Nothobranchius furzeri: one gene and its partner. The protein of the gene in region 2 binds, or shares a complex with, the protein of the main gene of each other region. Links are inferred from orthologs where the notes say so. Each region holds a gene or a part of one and is shown on either strand. Other genes may lie near its edges.

The links. Proteins that work in one complex are often made in the same cells at the same time.
Region 1: protein FAM8A1 (region 2) and herpud1 share a complex: the UniProt entries of both Homo sapiens proteins name them as parts of the HRD1 complex. The link is inferred for Nothobranchius furzeri from reciprocal best matches to the Homo sapiens genes FAM8A1 and HERPUD1.

Annotation. Positions count from the first base shown.
Region 1 is NC_091744.1:85,517,456-85,525,372, reverse strand, and holds part of herpud1 (homocysteine-responsive endoplasmic reticulum-resident ubiquitin-like domain member 1 protein), read right to left. Parts: intron 6,570-7,917; coding exon 6,492-6,569; intron 5,292-6,491; coding exon 5,211-5,291; intron 2,996-5,210; coding exon 2,823-2,995; intron 2,636-2,822; coding exon 2,525-2,635; intron 2,446-2,524; coding exon 2,074-2,445; intron 588-2,073; coding exon 467-587; intron 379-466; coding exon 217-378; 3' UTR 1-216. UniProt on the Homo sapiens protein: Component of the endoplasmic reticulum quality control (ERQC) system also called ER-associated degradation (ERAD) involved in ubiquitin-dependent degradation of misfolded endoplasmic reticulum proteins.
Region 2 is NC_091745.1:80,666,580-80,674,953, forward strand, and holds protein FAM8A1, read right to left. Parts: upstream 5,448-8,374; 5' UTR 5,302-5,447; coding exon 4,875-5,301; intron 4,383-4,874; exon of another isoform or gene 4,361-4,382; coding exon 4,240-4,360; intron 4,143-4,239; coding exon 4,019-4,142; intron 3,930-4,018; coding exon 3,790-3,929; intron 3,707-3,789; coding exon 3,562-3,706; 3' UTR 2,970-3,561; downstream 1-2,969. Other genes in the region: myelin P2 protein, read right to left, coding at 8,047-8,100, 8,190-8,291, 8,370-8,374. UniProt on the Homo sapiens protein: Plays a role in the assembly of the HRD1 complex, a complex involved in the ubiquitin-proteasome-dependent process of ER-associated degradation (ERAD).

The DNA.
Region 1 (7,917 bases), on a different chromosome or scaffold from region 2:
GTGCACATTTAGTCACTTCCTGTTTCCTGTAAGGCTGTGTGATGAAGCAGAAACGCCCCAGAGCAGCGTTTGTTACCCGCCTGGACTGGTGACCAGGTTTAGGTCCTTGTTGGTGACTAAACCGCTGCTTTTTTAAGGCGGTAATGTGGTTTTCCTCTAACAACAGAATCACAGCAGCTGGTAACACGTCAGCAAGCTTTACTACAGGAAAGCTGCTCAGTGGGCCAGACCCTGAGGAGCTTCAGGTATCAGAGAGGAGAAGAAGGTTTTAAAGAACACCCAGGCCGTCCACATCAGCGATACTCTGTGAGGAGGAACTAAGACGGCTGCCATTGGTTCCTCTGATCCTTCTGCTGCAGGTTCTTCCACCTCATCAGCCTGAAGAGAAGTTTATTTTAGCCACAGCTGATATTTAGAATTTAAAGATCACCTTGTTCCTCACAAGAGTAAAACCCCGGTTTCTTACTGGATTTAGGGCTTGGTTCCTGTCCTCGTTCTGCTGGTTGTGCTGGACCTCGGGAGGCTGCTGAAGGTTGGGCCCGGGGACAGCTGCTGGCCTTCTGAAGCGAAACCAGCCAACGGTGTGTCTGAAGGAAAAAGGCAACAACAGAAGAGTAAATACAGGAGAAATTCAGAAAGTCATTTTTTTTACTATTAAAAGGCTGTTTTACTATCTAACGCTGTAAAACGCCTCACAACACATTTTTATCAAAATAAATGATCACTGTATATTGTTAATTAATTCAAATAATATAATATTGATTTAGTGTTGTAGTGTGTGTGCTGTTTTATTTTATATGTGTACTTATTTCAGTTTATTTGTGTTTTTTATGCAGAAAAAAAAAAACAAGCAACGATGGACAACTACATGGGGAACAAGACACTCACCCCCCAGCAATGCATACACTTACAAACTCTATTCTAGATTCTACATTATTTTTTATGGAATTTACCTCTTATATATATATTTTTTTTTATTTATTTAACCTTTATTTAACCAGGATAGAGACCCATTGAGGTTAAGAACCTCTTTTACAAGGGTGTCCTGGCCAAGAGGCAGCAAAAAATAAAAACTGTTACAACTTAAGGACAATGATAAAAACACTCAATCATTAAAAGCAGTTACAAGTTAAATTTTGATGCCAAAAAATTTTTCTGGACTGATATTTTGCACCGTTTAGCTCATTTTACACCGCTGACTGTGTTCATGTGCAATAAAATCGATTGCAGTCAACTGCACAATTCTCTTATGCTTTTCTTTTTCTTAACTGAAATGTATCCATCACTTGAATAGGTTAAATAGCTAAACAATAACAAACCAATTAATCGAAAAAATAATCGACAGATTAATCGATTATGAAAATAATCGTTAGTTGCAGCCCTGGTTGTGTTAGTGTTTCCGTTTGTCCTTTTGGTATGATTTCCAGTATGTCATCTACGCAGTGTTTCCATAGTTTCATTTAGCAGTTTGGGGGGGGGGCAGTGGCTATGGCTTTTTGCTCCAGGTCTTCCACGAAAAACTGGCACAGGGTGGCTGATAACGGGTTACCCATGGCGAAGCCTTCCAGTTGTTTGTATATTGTGTCGTCGTATGTGAAGTAAGTGGAGTTAGCTACCAGTCCTATCAGTTGTGCTATGTCGTCTGCTGTGAGGGTTGTTCCTTTATGTAAAGTCTTGTCCTGTCTGATTCTGTTAACTACTACGTCTTTGGTTTTTTGGGTTGGTGTTTTTGTGAACAGAGATGTGACGTCATGTGAGATGAGTATGTCGTTGTCTTCTACTGTAATCTCTTTTACAACGCGGATAAACGGAGAAGAAAGTGACGCCACCACCAGCGCCAGCTCAGGAAGTTCGCAGCCGCAAACGAAACGTCAGCAAGTTAAAGAAAAAACCTTATCTGGGTTTATGGCTTTGATGGATTTTATGATTGTTGAGCCAAGATTTTTCTCTTCAGCTGAATCAAATATTCAGTGAGAAATGCATGTTCGTAACTACATACTTTGCATTTTAATGTCTGTTTTTAACTTTATACAACCAACCAACCCTCTGTTGGGTGGAGCTGGCTGAACTCACAGGTACATGAAGAAGAGCGTGCTCATCACCAGCAGGAAGCGACTCAGACTGGAGTTGAAATACACGATCATGAGCAGAACGCCGAATCTCGCTGCCGAGTACAGCCAGTCCAGCCAATCGCGTTCCACGTCCTCCTCGTCCTCCATCACCGGCCCACCCTGCGCGTTCATACGCATGTTCTGGTTGGCCTCCCCAGGATTGATGAAGGCGGCGTCCTGCACGGGGTTCTGATTCGCCGGCAGGTTGTCGATGGGGTTCTGATTGGCTATGGGAGCTGGGACGGGTACTTGGTGGGCGGGGACATGTGGGTACGGACCAAAGGTTGCTGCAGGTGTTGATGGAGCAGACCCCGCTGCTGCCAGAGCTGCGTGGCTGTGGACGGAAAATCGGATTTAGAGAATACCATGGACTACTTTAGTGCGTGCGTGTGTGTGTGTGTGTGAACACTCACTACTGCATGTAATACTGTCTGGCGTAGACGTGTTGGAGCCACAGCAGCTGCTGAGGGCTGTACAGGGAGAAGTGGGGAAAGGCTGGGTGTGTCAGCTGTGATGCTCCAGGCCTGCAGAGAGACAAAACCTGAACTTTTGACCAGGAAAAGCTCGTTTCTATCATCAACTACAAAATCGGTGAGCAAACTCCTCCTAAAGCGTTAGTAAGAAGCTGCACATTGATGCATTTTGCTAAAGCAGCTGAACATTCACCCTTCATGCAGCTTCTTCCTGCTGTCTGTTATTCACATCACTTACGTGGTCGGAGTGGGCCGTGCAGGACTTTCCTGTGGAGATGCTGGGGTTGGAGAAGCAGACGACGACGACGAAGTTTGCCTCCTCTGCCTCAGCTCTGGCGTGCTCGGGTTCTGAACCAGCGGAGCTGCAGAAGACCTCAGACCAGAAGGACGTGCTTGATCTGCCTCTTTGGTCTGCAGAGGAAATCAGAATTTAAAGAACGACACCAGAAAACCAGAACTGCGAGACAAATATGTAAAGACTTATTTTATCAGGACAAACAAAAAGACTTAAAGTATTAAAACTGAGCAGAGTGACACTAATTTATTTATCTTTAGTGACTGATCTTGAAACCGTTGTGCTTCACAGCAGGTTGGTGATGAAGGACGCGGTGAGGAAGAACATCTGCTGCTCTCACATGTCCTACATTTGCTTATTAAATAGTTTCCGTTTTGATTCTGACAAAAAAACAGACGTTGTTTTTAAAACCCTATCCTAAAGCTAATAAAATCATATTAAGATTTTAAAAAATGGATAAAAACTTCACAGTTCACGTTTGCACAACATTTTACTCACAATAGATTCATAAACGTGAGCTTTTACTTCAAGTTAGTATTTGTATTAAAATAAAGACGTTCAGGTTGAAAAAACCAGAACAGACTGAAACTGCCAATTTGCTTAAAGAGCAAGTCACCCCCCAAATCAACTTTTTTCTGATAAACTATATAAATGTGTGTCTAATCGTGCTGCAGACACGTGTCGTCAATAGTTTTGCACTTTAGTGCATTTTAGTTAAAATTTTAATTTTCTGCCTAAAACTGTCAGTGTTGTGCCGTTGTCAGGTAAAAACTCTGCACTGCAGTTGAATTTAAATCTGCCATCGCTATTGGCTAAGAGGTACCCTAGAATGTTAGCTGGTACCATATGTAACGGTATGAAATGACTGTTTTCCACCAAAAGTCATTTCCCCCTCTCCTCTGACACAGAACTAGTCTGCATGAGATACGGCCTCAAGGTCTCATGCATTTGTTATAAACTGCTTCTTTCCAGCTCAAGAGAAGAATGAAGAAAGGACTCTCTCCTTTTAATAAATCAAATAACTCTATTTTTAATAAGCTAATCAAACAAAGTGTTAGTCAATAATAAAATGTGAACCAATCTGTGACATGAAAATATTAATTACTTTATTATAATCCTATAGAATATAATAAGTAATATGACTTTAAATGTTTCCACTAGGACTGATCTCACGTAGCGTTAAGACATGACACATTACTTTACTGATCCAATCAGAATCTGCCAGATCTGCTGGAGGCGTGGTTTTGGTGGTGTTTGGTAAATCTGTCATCTTTTCATTCGACCATAAACCAAAACATCCGAAGTATAAAACTATGCCCACGTCATCTTTAACACCAGTTCAAAGCGTTCTAGAGAAGTTGTCGGAGTGGCCAATCCGTAACTTTCCTCTTCAGCCGAAAGAACCAACGACAAGCTGGATAAAATCTGTTGCTGTTCCACCTGCTGCAACGGTTCCTTTCAGAATAAAAGCTGAACCATCACGACCCAGGTTTGGGTCTCGCTAGATGCCAACAAATTGTCGTGACCTGGAAGTATCTAAAGACTGGTGGTTAGCTGCCGCAGCTGTTTCTACAGGCTTCGGCTCCATAAAGGTCAAGCTGGACCTCTACACCTCCTGATCTAACGGGGACTTCCGCTAAGGGTATGTAGACCGACAGAACGGCGTTGAATGTGTTTATGAATCTCCTAACCAAAGCTTAACGTGAAGACATCACCTTCAGTTCCCATCAGAACTAATCGTTTCTTTGGATTTGCTGGTTCTGAGCAACATTCCACATTACACCATGCTCCGTCTCATTCACCTTAGTTACACCATACATTTAGTGTTAAAATTAGTCTAGTTTAATTTGTTTAGTAATAAATCTTTAAACTTTTAAACTTGACTCTCTCTTCTGTTGTCTCTGAATTAATACGAGGCTGTTACATAATCCCTGCAATAAAAAGTTCCAATCTTCTGGTTAAACAGCACCCACAGATCCATGAGGTTGATTTCATATTTGCTATGGAATCTTGTGTCTTATGGCTCATTAAATAACATGTAAATTAAATCATTACACACATGATGTCACAATGTCATTGTGAGCCTGTGTGTGTTTGTTAGCGGCTCCGCCCTCTCGGTCTGCTAGGCAACAGCATTTGTTGCATTTTTCAAACAGGAAGTGGGAGCGGAGTAATACTCTGGTAGGGGGTGACTTGCTCTTTAATGTGTCATAAAGAAGCGGCGGAAGGTTCATTAAACTTCTGAGTTTTAAGAAACATGGTGATCCGTCACCAAACTCAGCCGCATCACTTAAAAAATAAAAAACTCCACTCGGGCTTTTCAAGGCTCACCTTGGCGCCAGCTCTCAGCGCTCCTTCAGGTGGGTTCCTCATCGCACACACCAGGTGCAGCGTGTGAATGACGCCAGTCTGCTAAACATCAAGATGAACAGAAAAGGTTCAGTTGAGCTAACAGAGGTTCAGCTGAACCGCAGCTACAGGACAGAACAGTGTAAACACAACACACAGTTTGACCGTCAGCCATGTTGGCTACGGGTCACATGAGTCCAACAGTCAGGACAGGGTCACCTTAAAATAAAACCTAGTTGAAAAATCGCAGTACATGACACCAAATCTATTTTTTTCCCAATAAAAAAAGTTATAGCAAAACCTAAAGTCTGCATTTTTGCTGCTTCGGTTGTTAAAAACAAACAAATATTGTTTCGTTCAGATATATTATGAATTATTTAACAAATACCGGATCTATCGGATTACTGCAGGAAACAACAACACAAACAACCTCAGCACAGGCGCTCGTTTCGTTTCCTGAAAGAAAATTTACAAACCAAATGGAGAATTTCATTAAACCACCACGCCGGCTTTCAGGCGTTTACTTCTATTTGTATGTAGTTTGGCGGCTTCTGCTGATGCCGAGTGTCCGTGTTGTCTCCTCTAAGCTGGGCTACAGCTTTAACAGGCGCTGGTTTAGCCTGCGAATGTAAACCCGGGTTCATCTGCTTAACTACTCGGTGCTAAAAACGTGGTTGGTCTCTGTAGCTGACCCAAAGACATGAGAGGAACCCATTTGTCCCATTTTCGTCAGCTCGCTGGTGTCGTTTTACAGCCGATCCAAATGGAACAGTAGAGTCTGACCCGGAAAACCTCCATAACAATCAATCCATGAAATATTATCCTGTCCCACATTTATTAAACTAACGGGAATCTGAGGATTTGGGAATTAGAGGCTGTTTATCAGAAGAGGTTGATTTATAAACGTATTCTAGAGACATTAAATAATTGCAATGTTTGAAAACTGTTCATTTGTGATGGTGAACGGTTTGATGTAAATATGTTCAACCTGATATTCAGGTGGGTGTTAAGATGAATCTAGACAAGGGCTTTTCAGTTCTGGTCCCTGAGGGCTACTACCTGTTTGTTTTCTATGTTTAGCTTCACCAACACACCTGGTTTGATTTACATGCGTGATTAACAAACAGAACAGGTAATTCAGGTGTGCTGGAGATGGGGGATGGCTGCAACATGCAGCGCACCAGGACCAGAATTGAACCCCACTGATCTAGACGAACTTGGATAAAAAAAAAAATAATAATAAAATAAAATCTGAATACAGACCTGTCTGAAGAGCTCTTTGATGAGTAGATGATCTGGGAGCAGTTTGCCAGCGAAGATCAGCCTCTGATCGCACACGGCCTTTAAAAAACACAAACAAGTTAGTTTATGAGGTTCATGTTCTTTAACACAGCCCGAGCCAGCTCACAAATATAAACACACATGGCGAATTACCCAGAGGTTACACGGTCTTGATCAGTAATCATTAACTTTACATGGAAACTAAGCATTTATCTCACAGCACCTGATGGTTGGACAGGTCTTATCAGCTAACTGCACCCTTTCATCTCTCTGATCATCCCTTCATCTTCTGGGAGTCTGAAGGAACATCACACCTTGTGAATTTGCTACTTACAATACAAAAACAACAGATTAACAACAGAGGCTCAATAAACCAATAAGAATATTCTTCCCATGGGCTCACCACTCGTGGGAGGGGCCAAAGGGGTCGGGTGCAGTGTGTGTCGGGTGGTAGTCGAGGGCGGGGACCTTGGTGGTCTGATCCTCGGCTACAGAAGCTGGCTCTTGGCACATGGAGTGTCACCTCTCTGGTGGGGAAGGAGCCTGAGTTGGTGTGTGAGGCTGAGAGGTTCCGACTAGATATAGTCAGACTCTCCTCAACGCATGGCTCTGGCTCTAGAACCAGTTTCCTTGAGAGGGGTTGGACTTTCTACCAGTCTGGAGTTGCTCCCACTGAGAGGCGCCGAGCAGGGGTGGGCATACTAGTTGCCCCCCATCTTGGTGCCTGTACGTTGGGGTTTACCCCAGTGAATGAGAGGGTAGAGAGCTGAGTCAGAAGGAGAAGCTCTCGATTTACCGGTCGATCTACGTTCCTACCCTCACCTATGGTCATGAGCGGTCATGGTAGTGACCGAAAGGACAAGATCGCGGATACAAGCGGCCAAAATAAGTCTTCTATGAAGAGTGGCTGGGCTCTCTCATATGGGCCATTCCCATCTGTACCGGGTCGGCCCGGGCCGGGTAGCGTAGGTTGTTTACATATCTGGGTGGCCTGGTACTTTTCCGGGCCAACCAAGGCTCATTCTCAGCCCTCTTCTCGAGGGGGTCTGCTTCAGGCCGACCAGGGCCAACACACCCACTGCTGACAGCAAATTCACACCTTCCATTAGAGCAAGCCTCTGATTGGTGGGTAGAATCAGCCCACATGGGCTTAAGGCAAGGATGTGTGGAATCAACTGGGCCAGGCTGGGGCCGACTGGGGCTACCCGGCCCGGGCCGACCCGGTACAGATGGGAATGGCCCATTAGAGATAGGGAGAGAAGCTCGGCCATTCGGGAGGGGCTCGGAGTAGACTCGCTGCTCCTCCACGTCGAGAGGAGCCAGTTGAGGTGGCTCGGGTATCTGGTCAGGATATCTCCTGGAAGCCTCCCTGGTGAGGTTTTGTGGGCACGTCCAACCAGGAGGAGAC
Region 2 (8,374 bases):
CCTGAGAGGGGAACAGCAGCAGCAGCTCAGAGTGCGTTTTCCACCCACGTCACCTTTCCACCTCTTCAGAACACCTGGAGCCTCATGCTGAGCAGCTCATTTAGAAAAAGCTGAAGAGAAAATCGTGACCTTAAGGACAGAAATGTTAAATTAGGTGAGAATATTTTAGTTGGGCCTGCTGGTCTTCTCCTCTGGCCCACTCGTGGCTCTGCTCAGACACTAAACACATGGCTGTCATAGAAAGCTGTGAGCCCTGCATGCTGACAGAGGACGACTTTGCTGTTCAAGGAGCCAGAGAAGATGGCTGGACATCAACTCCACACCGTGTGGCAGCGAGGAAGCAAAGCATCAGACACCAAACAGGAGATTTACACCGATTTGAATCTCTCCACCCACAAATCCCCCCATTAATCCTCCATTAGAGAAATAAGAAACCATTAAGAAAACATCATTTTAGATTAATCTGGCTGATGAATCCTCAACGCTTTAGTCCCATTCTCTCATCTGGATGCAAGCCAGAGTCTAACAGCTGGAGCACACATCAGATTTCTGAGCTAATCTGCCATTTTCCACATGCTGGTAACATTTACTGGTTCTCAGGGATGCTCTTCCTGTTTCTGCTGCAGCATGCCAGGCTCATGTGGGGCTGCGGCTGTAATCGCTGCACCATCTGAGGCTGAACGTATGAATCTATGCAGAGAAATGCCTTTACTCGAAGATCTGATGATGCTAAAGGCTCTCTGATGACGACTCACAGATCAAATGTAAATGTTTTAACCTAAAATGAAGCAAACAGGCTGCAGCGAGGTGAAGAGTGGCAGTGACAAACGTACAGTAGATGGAGCCAAACTAAGAGATCTGCTGACGATAAATGTGTTTGAGGGCTTCCATACATAAACGAGTCGGATCTTTAACATCCAGGATTATACAATAAAACTGATTTATAGAGAAATCTAAGGATTAGCAGGACTCCACAGCCCTCTGTGCAGAGCATAAGTCATCATCACAGACCCCACCATCCCAGCATGGACGTTTACCTTCAGACTGGAGGCACGGGAATGTAAACCGCAGGGCAACCCGACTCAAGACCTCCTTCATTCCCACGCCCAGCAGATAATCCCAACATGGGATTATACTTTATTTCCTCTTTGCACATGAAGCTGGTGTACATTTTCATCTGATAACCTGCAGGTAGAACTTCTTTACGGTTCATATTTGGATCGTTTTATTGCATTTCTGCACACTTTTCATCTTATCTGTTTGATACTTTTGGCATCCAGCGTGGGACGCGGTCACAAACATAACTCCTTTCAGCGGAGACGAAAACGGAGCATTCATGTCCAACCTGGACAAACCCGAGAGGACCTTCGTAGGTTAGGACACCTGTTAGTAACTCTGATTCCTTCTGCATTGTGAGATCAGTTTAACGTGTCAGAACCTGCAGCTGAAGGTCGTGATTTATAAACTTAGACCTGCAAGCAGCCATTTTTGTTTTGACCAAATTATCTTTTGCTTATTCAAAAAGAATTCGTGCTTAAAGAGCAAGTCACCCCTACCAGATTCTTACTCCGCTCCCACTTCCTGTTTAAAAAATGCAACAAATTCTGTCGCCTGGCAGATCGAGGGGGCGGAGCCACTAACAAACACACAGGCTCACAACGACATTGTGACATCATATGGTACCAGCTAACGTTCTAGGGTACCTCTTAGCCAATAGCGATGGCAGATTTAAGTTCAACTGCAGTGCAGTTTTTACCTGACAATGGCACAACACTGACAGTTTTAGGCAGAACATTAAAAGCTTAATTCCATTCAATTCAATTCAAGTTTATTTATATAGCGCCAAATCACGACAAGAGTCGTCTCAAGGCACTTCACATAATAAACATTCCAATTCAGGTCAGTTCATTAAGCCAATACGAAATAATGTTTCCTATATAAGGAACCCAGCAGGTCGCATCGAGTCACTGACTAGTGTCAGAGTCTTTACAGCAATCCTCATACTAAGCAAGCATGCAGCGACAGTGGAGAGGAAAACTCTCTTTTAACAGGAAGAAACCTCCAGAGAATCCTGGCTCAGTATAAGCAGCCATCCTCCACGACTCACTGGGGATCGAGAAGATAGAGCACACACACACACACGTGCACACACACCAAGTAGTGTTTCTATAGTTACATTGTGATTTCTTAGTAAATATTCTATTTGGTGAGAGATAAACTTTATTGTATTTATCCTAGTGGATCTATAATTAAACGGGTAAACTAGCAGTAGCACATTCGATATCAAGGAAAGCAAAAAGTTATTATCAGGAGATCAAAATCATAATCAAAATGCATTAAAGTGCAAAACTATTGACTACACGTGTCTGCAGCACGATTAGACACGCATTTAGTTTTTCAGGAATAAAGTAGATTTGGGGGTGACTTGCTCTTTAAACAGCAACCGGCTAAGAGTTCAAAAACTGTTAATGAGGTATGATTCATAACTGCTGAGAGAGTATAGAGCGTCAGTCTGAAGTACTTACAGCCCTGATTCACATGAGACGTGTGTAACATGAGAACAGCTATGATTTTAAATGATTTTTGTCTCTTTAAACATTTGTGTCCATTTTCATAGCAGCAAATATCACAGACGCTGAGACACAAACAGCTACAGCATCCCAGAACCAGTCGGCGACTAGACTCCCAGTTAGAAGGATGAGTGGGACAGTTAAAGATGTCCTGCTGCTTTAGCTGTTTAAGGTGGAGAACATCTCTAGACTCATAGGAGAAAGGCTGCAATCTGCAGGACCTGAACCAAAACCGATAAGCTAAGAGCACGTTGGAAATCTTTTATCTAGAAACACAAATAAAACATGAATGTGAGAAGAAAACACGTGGAAACAGAATTCCTCACATAACCAACCATACGTGTGCTGCTTTAGCACACGTGGCCCGTGTAACTCACACAAAGTATAAATGCACAAGAGTTCATGCTTTCAGAGCCACAGGCCTGGTTTTATTCAGAGAACATTCAGAAATGCTAATGAAATACATAAACGGTTAACATTTAGCGTCCGATACACCTCGGCTTACAGAGAAAAACCTTTAAATGTGCCTCCATCTCAGCCTTAAACAGGGCGGATCAAATCAAACCTAAATCTATGCACACCTTTCCAAGAAAAGAACTTTTCGTGTTTGCATTTTACACGACCTCTCGTCCGCTTTGGAGACCGGCGGAAACGGCCAGATACTGGGGGTGAAATACGAAATCATCAGCGGCTTAAATACTGAGCAGCGGGCGGCACTCGCCCTTCGCCTCACACAGAAGTGAAGGTGCAACTTGTGCCGAAAACGGGCTAAATCCCCATCATCCTTCCTGTTGGTCCAGGAGGAGACACCGGAAACATTATCTGGACATGCATGCAGAAAAACAGTGCTGGTCACGATGAACGGAAGCAGTTCTTACGGATGCGGGCTCCCAGCAAACGCCTGAACTCTGCTGCGACGCGTGAACACAGCAGTGGCTCTGGGAGCCGCTTCACTAAAACATCAGAGTCATTTTACGCGTCCCGTTCTGCGTCATCTGGCTCTGGATCGCTTGACAACGATGGTACCGGCAACCATATCATACACAGTCCTGTTGTGCTGGAAGAAGAGGAGTGTGATGAAGGCTGGGAAGAAGAAGGCTATGGAGAAGTTCTTATTCAAAGCCCGGACAGTTGATCTGGAAGGACGGACAGAAACAAGAGTTCAGTCTTCCCAACCGCCTCCTTAGACAGCTCCCTGAAACATAAACGAGCCACTCACGCAGAGAGAGAGACGTTAGTGGCTGGCACCACGAGCACCCTGTTGGGCTGAACCAGAACCGACGAGTCACACGTAACGACTCTGAGTCCGAGGAGAAACTTCCCTGGCGTGGCACCTCCTGCTCCCCAGATGCACACAATCTGACAGGAGAAAAGCGTGAAAGTTCACCTCGAGTCTTCCTAAAACGTTTAAAACACAGACTTGAGTCTAAACCGGCAGTGAGCCTCACCTCATAAAAACACACCAAGATCCGGTACACTAGAGCAACAAGCATCATCTTCTGCAGCTCCTCCATCGACGTGTCCTCGTCGATCTCCTCCACGATCAAATGCATGGCAAACTTGGAAACATCCCTAAAAACAATGGAAAAGACAAAAAAATCCAAATGTTATGGTCATGGTGTTTCTGTTGTCATGACAACGCTGTTTACACCAAATCTAATTAACCCACTTGATTCCACTCAGATGCATAATACTGATGATTATAGAAGCTTTGATGAAAAACAAGATGAAGAAGTCCACCATCTCCGCCATGAGTCTCTGGAGAGGAGAGGGGATGCTGTACTCCCGCCCTGGTGGAAGCGAGACACAGCGGTAAGTTTTAGTCCTTCAGAGGCTGAGAAACCAAACGTTCAAGGTTTATTTTCCCAAAAGTGAGACACAAACGTCACATTAACCTTACTAGTGTCAACGCGGTCTGATTCAGTCATCATCTGAGTCATAATTGGAGTTTAACCTGAATAAAAACAAGAGAGTCGACGACAGAATGTTCCAGAAGGTGCTAAACGTGGCTTTAGTGAACACTTTAGATGTCTCATCAACGGTTTGTCTTTATTTCACTTCACAAGTTTCATTCATCGCTGTCCTGGTGTGACGTCATAACCCGGCCGCAAAAGCCACTCACTACTCGTGTTGCGTTCAGGTCACAAACTATAAAATAATACATTTGGCCTTCTGAAAAGCTTTCAGTCTTATCCCAGCCCGTAGTGAACCGTACCGTAACTCCTACTTTTTATTAAACGAAGAGCATGTTTGGGTGTGTGGTCACAAGTGAACGTTTGGACATGAACCAGCTGCAGCGTTTACCCGGTCTCTGCGCGTTTCCGTTAGCTTGAGGCGGCGGTTGGTGCTGCTGCGCGGCAGCGCCGACGGGGGCTTCACCCGCTCGGCTGACCGCAGGTGGATACGGCAACAACGGAAGCCCGAGTGGGCCGGCATGCCAGTCACCAGCCGTGGGGGTTCCGCTGGGTGGCTGTAAATAAGGGCAGGACACCGCCGACGCCGCTAGCCAGCTCTGCCAGTTCACATAGCCAGCGTAGTACTGCCACATCCATGTCTGCAGCTTCTCGCAGTACTCCGCTGTGGTTCCACCGTCAGCGGAAGGTTTCTTCTGGTTGTCTGAACCACGGATTACATCTTTACCAGAAGGTTTATTTTCTCCTTCATCCACTTCCACAGCTTTGTTGTTCATGTCCGCCATGTTTACAAGCACCGTAACGTCGTAAAACGTCATTGATGCCAAATCATTTAGAAAGAAGCTAAACAGAAGTGAAAACAAATAGTTATCGATTATACATATTTGATGAGAGGTTAACAGCTGATATACAAAAGCTTATAAGGTGAAAACTTTTAATAAAGCATTTATTTAGCAGGAGAACTTCAGCCCCTCCCCCGCTTTTCAGCACATAGTGGTACAGTCCAATCAGTAGCTGCACTACTAGACACGGCCACAGGAGGTCAGGGTTTCGCTGTTACAGTTTCAGTTTGACCGCATTATCTTTATTTATTTGTTTATTTTGGACAGTGCATGTTAATGAACATAAAGCAGCTTACATGAATGTAAACATGCCAGATTATAGCCAAAAATTCTAATTTCCATCTGTTGACATAAAAAGACATAATAATTCATAAAAATTCATCATTCATTCATAATAAAAACTCCTTCACCAAACTTACACATACACACCATTCTATTCACAAATGAAACATTAAAACTATAAAACTCATACATGATCACACACTTGATTTGTCCATAACCAGTTTTTAACCTTTGCCTTGAGTCGAGCATTCTCTAATGGGTTGAGGAAGACTGTTCCACAGATGGCCACCCTTGACAGAGGACGTTCTGCCCAAAAGATGTCTGTCTATGTGGTATAAACATTTCTCCTCGAATTGTAGCTCGTGTAGTCCTGTTTGAGCTTTCTTTATGCCTAATGAACTGCTTTAGTGGTGGTGGAGCAAGGGAGTGTAAGACTTTATATATTAAACAGACTCTTTTAAGTTTCATTAAGTTAGTGAAGTTCAGTAATTTATGTTTTTTAACACATGACAATGGTGGTGGGAAGTCGGTTTTTGTCAAGTAATTTTAAACTTTTATAAATGTTTGCACTAGTTTTAAGTGTTGTTGGACAAGCAAGTGACCAGGATGTCAAACAATAGTCCGTATGAGAGATGATCATCGAGTAAAAATAAGTTTTTGCAACATTCATATTTAGATTATTACGTATATGAGTAAAATTTAGATTATTAAATTTAAGTACCTGGGACACTTTATTTATATGACTCTTGAAGGATAATGTTGGGTCTAGAATTACCCCAAGATATTTAAATTCTGGTGCTAGATCAAGCTCTACTCCATCCAGGAATATATTTGACTGCTTCTAGTTTAAGGGGCGTTTTGAAAAAAACATGCAGACAGTTTTTGAGGTGTTCAACATTAGGCATGAGTCCTCCAGCCAGCTAAGCATTAATGCTAAAGCAGCTGTAAGATCTTTTGCCACCTGCTGGACACTGTTTGCTTGCGTAAATATAACTGCATCATCCGCATACATTTGAGCAAATATGTCTGGACAGACTTCAGGTAAGTTATTAATAAAAAGAGAGAACAATAAATGCCCAAGAACAGATCCTTGAGGAACTCCTGTATCACAGTCTAAATATGGAGATTTAACCCCATCCCACACCACAAACTGTTTCCTGTGTGAGAGATATGAGGCAAACCACTGAAGCGCCTGACTGGAGATATTAAACTGAGTCAATCTGGACAACAACATCTGATGGTTTACGGAGTCGAACGCCTTCTTCAGATCTAAAAATACAGCTCCGACACAGCGACTCTTGTCCAGCAAGCTCTTCAAGTTCTCCACTAACGTACAACAAAAAGACAAGTTGGTGTCATGATCCAGGGCTTTTTAGGTGTTTAGGTGTTCCCATCTTGGGATTTATACTCCCTCTAGATTCTGCAAAATCTAACCTCAGCTTGTCGTTCTTTTAACTTGGTAAACCTTTACTTGTTTACGCTTATTTACCTGCGCTGAAAATATGGGAGGAACAGCCTTTTGATTCACCTTAAGACTATTGGATTTGAATGAGATTATTCCTGCAGCCATGTTGTCTGTAGGCAGGAAGTGCTGCATAAACGTTCAGTGATTTCCTGTGACTGATTTAGTCAGGATTAGTGGACAAGTTTGGATGGATTATTTACATACGTATAAAACTAGTCCTCACATAAATCATTTATCCTTATTAGAACCTGGAACCTTATGGCTGAATTTTAAAATAAGACATGGGTTCATTCATGACCACAATGGTTTAGAATACAAGAGCTGAGGCAGTGATTGTATTTATGGATAAAGCCATTTCAAAGCAAGTCTGCACCGACTCAAACGTAATCCTCCGTTCATTGTTTTAGTTGGAAATAAGTCAACGGTCTCTGCTCCATCGGTGCGGAACATGAAAGACTTAAATGCATCCCTCTGATTCAGACCACCTGGCTGCTAACGTTGATTCATGTTTGACCCAATTCTACAAAGAACCCTAATCGAGACTAATTCCACAAACCTGCTCTAAGCTGCGTCTGTGCATCGTGGATAAGAGGCTTCCCACAAACCGGGGGTCACAGCCCTAAACCTCCAACAGGAACTGGGCCTGCCCCCCCCAATTCACTCAAATCCATGTCATAAGGCCCTCATGTTGTGTGCTTCAACAGAAAGCCTTTGTGCACTTGGGCAATGTTTGAAACGCCTCCAACTGGATCCCTTTCAGCAGCAAATTACCACACTTCACTGGTCGTCAGCATGTCGTTCATAAACCGCCAACAACGGGCAGATTCTCGGGAATCGTGGACGAAGCCCAAACATTATAATACATTTAAGCTGCCAAAGCTCCACTTCAGACAAAAATACATTTGATAAATAAACGAACAGAAACCTCATGGTTCAAGTTTTATTTTCATGTTCAACAGCTCAGTGCATTTTTCTTATGCCGCTTTCTCGTACGTCCTCACAGCGACCACGTCGTCCATGACACATTTCTGCATTAAAAAAAAAAAGTTTCATTATTCAAGATGGAACAGTCATGGTGCCGAGGGCCATCACCTAGAGAGGGTGACGGTTTACTCACAGCAGTGAGCTTCCCATCTTGGATCTCCCGTTCCAGCGTGGTCATCTTCCCATCCCAGGACTGTTTCTGCATGAGCTTACCGTTCTCCAGAGTGAAGATGGACTTCAGGTAAAGCAGCTTAGGTTAGAAAGTTATCAAACTTTAAAAGGTGCAAAGATGAAGTTGATGCAGAGTGCTGACCTTGG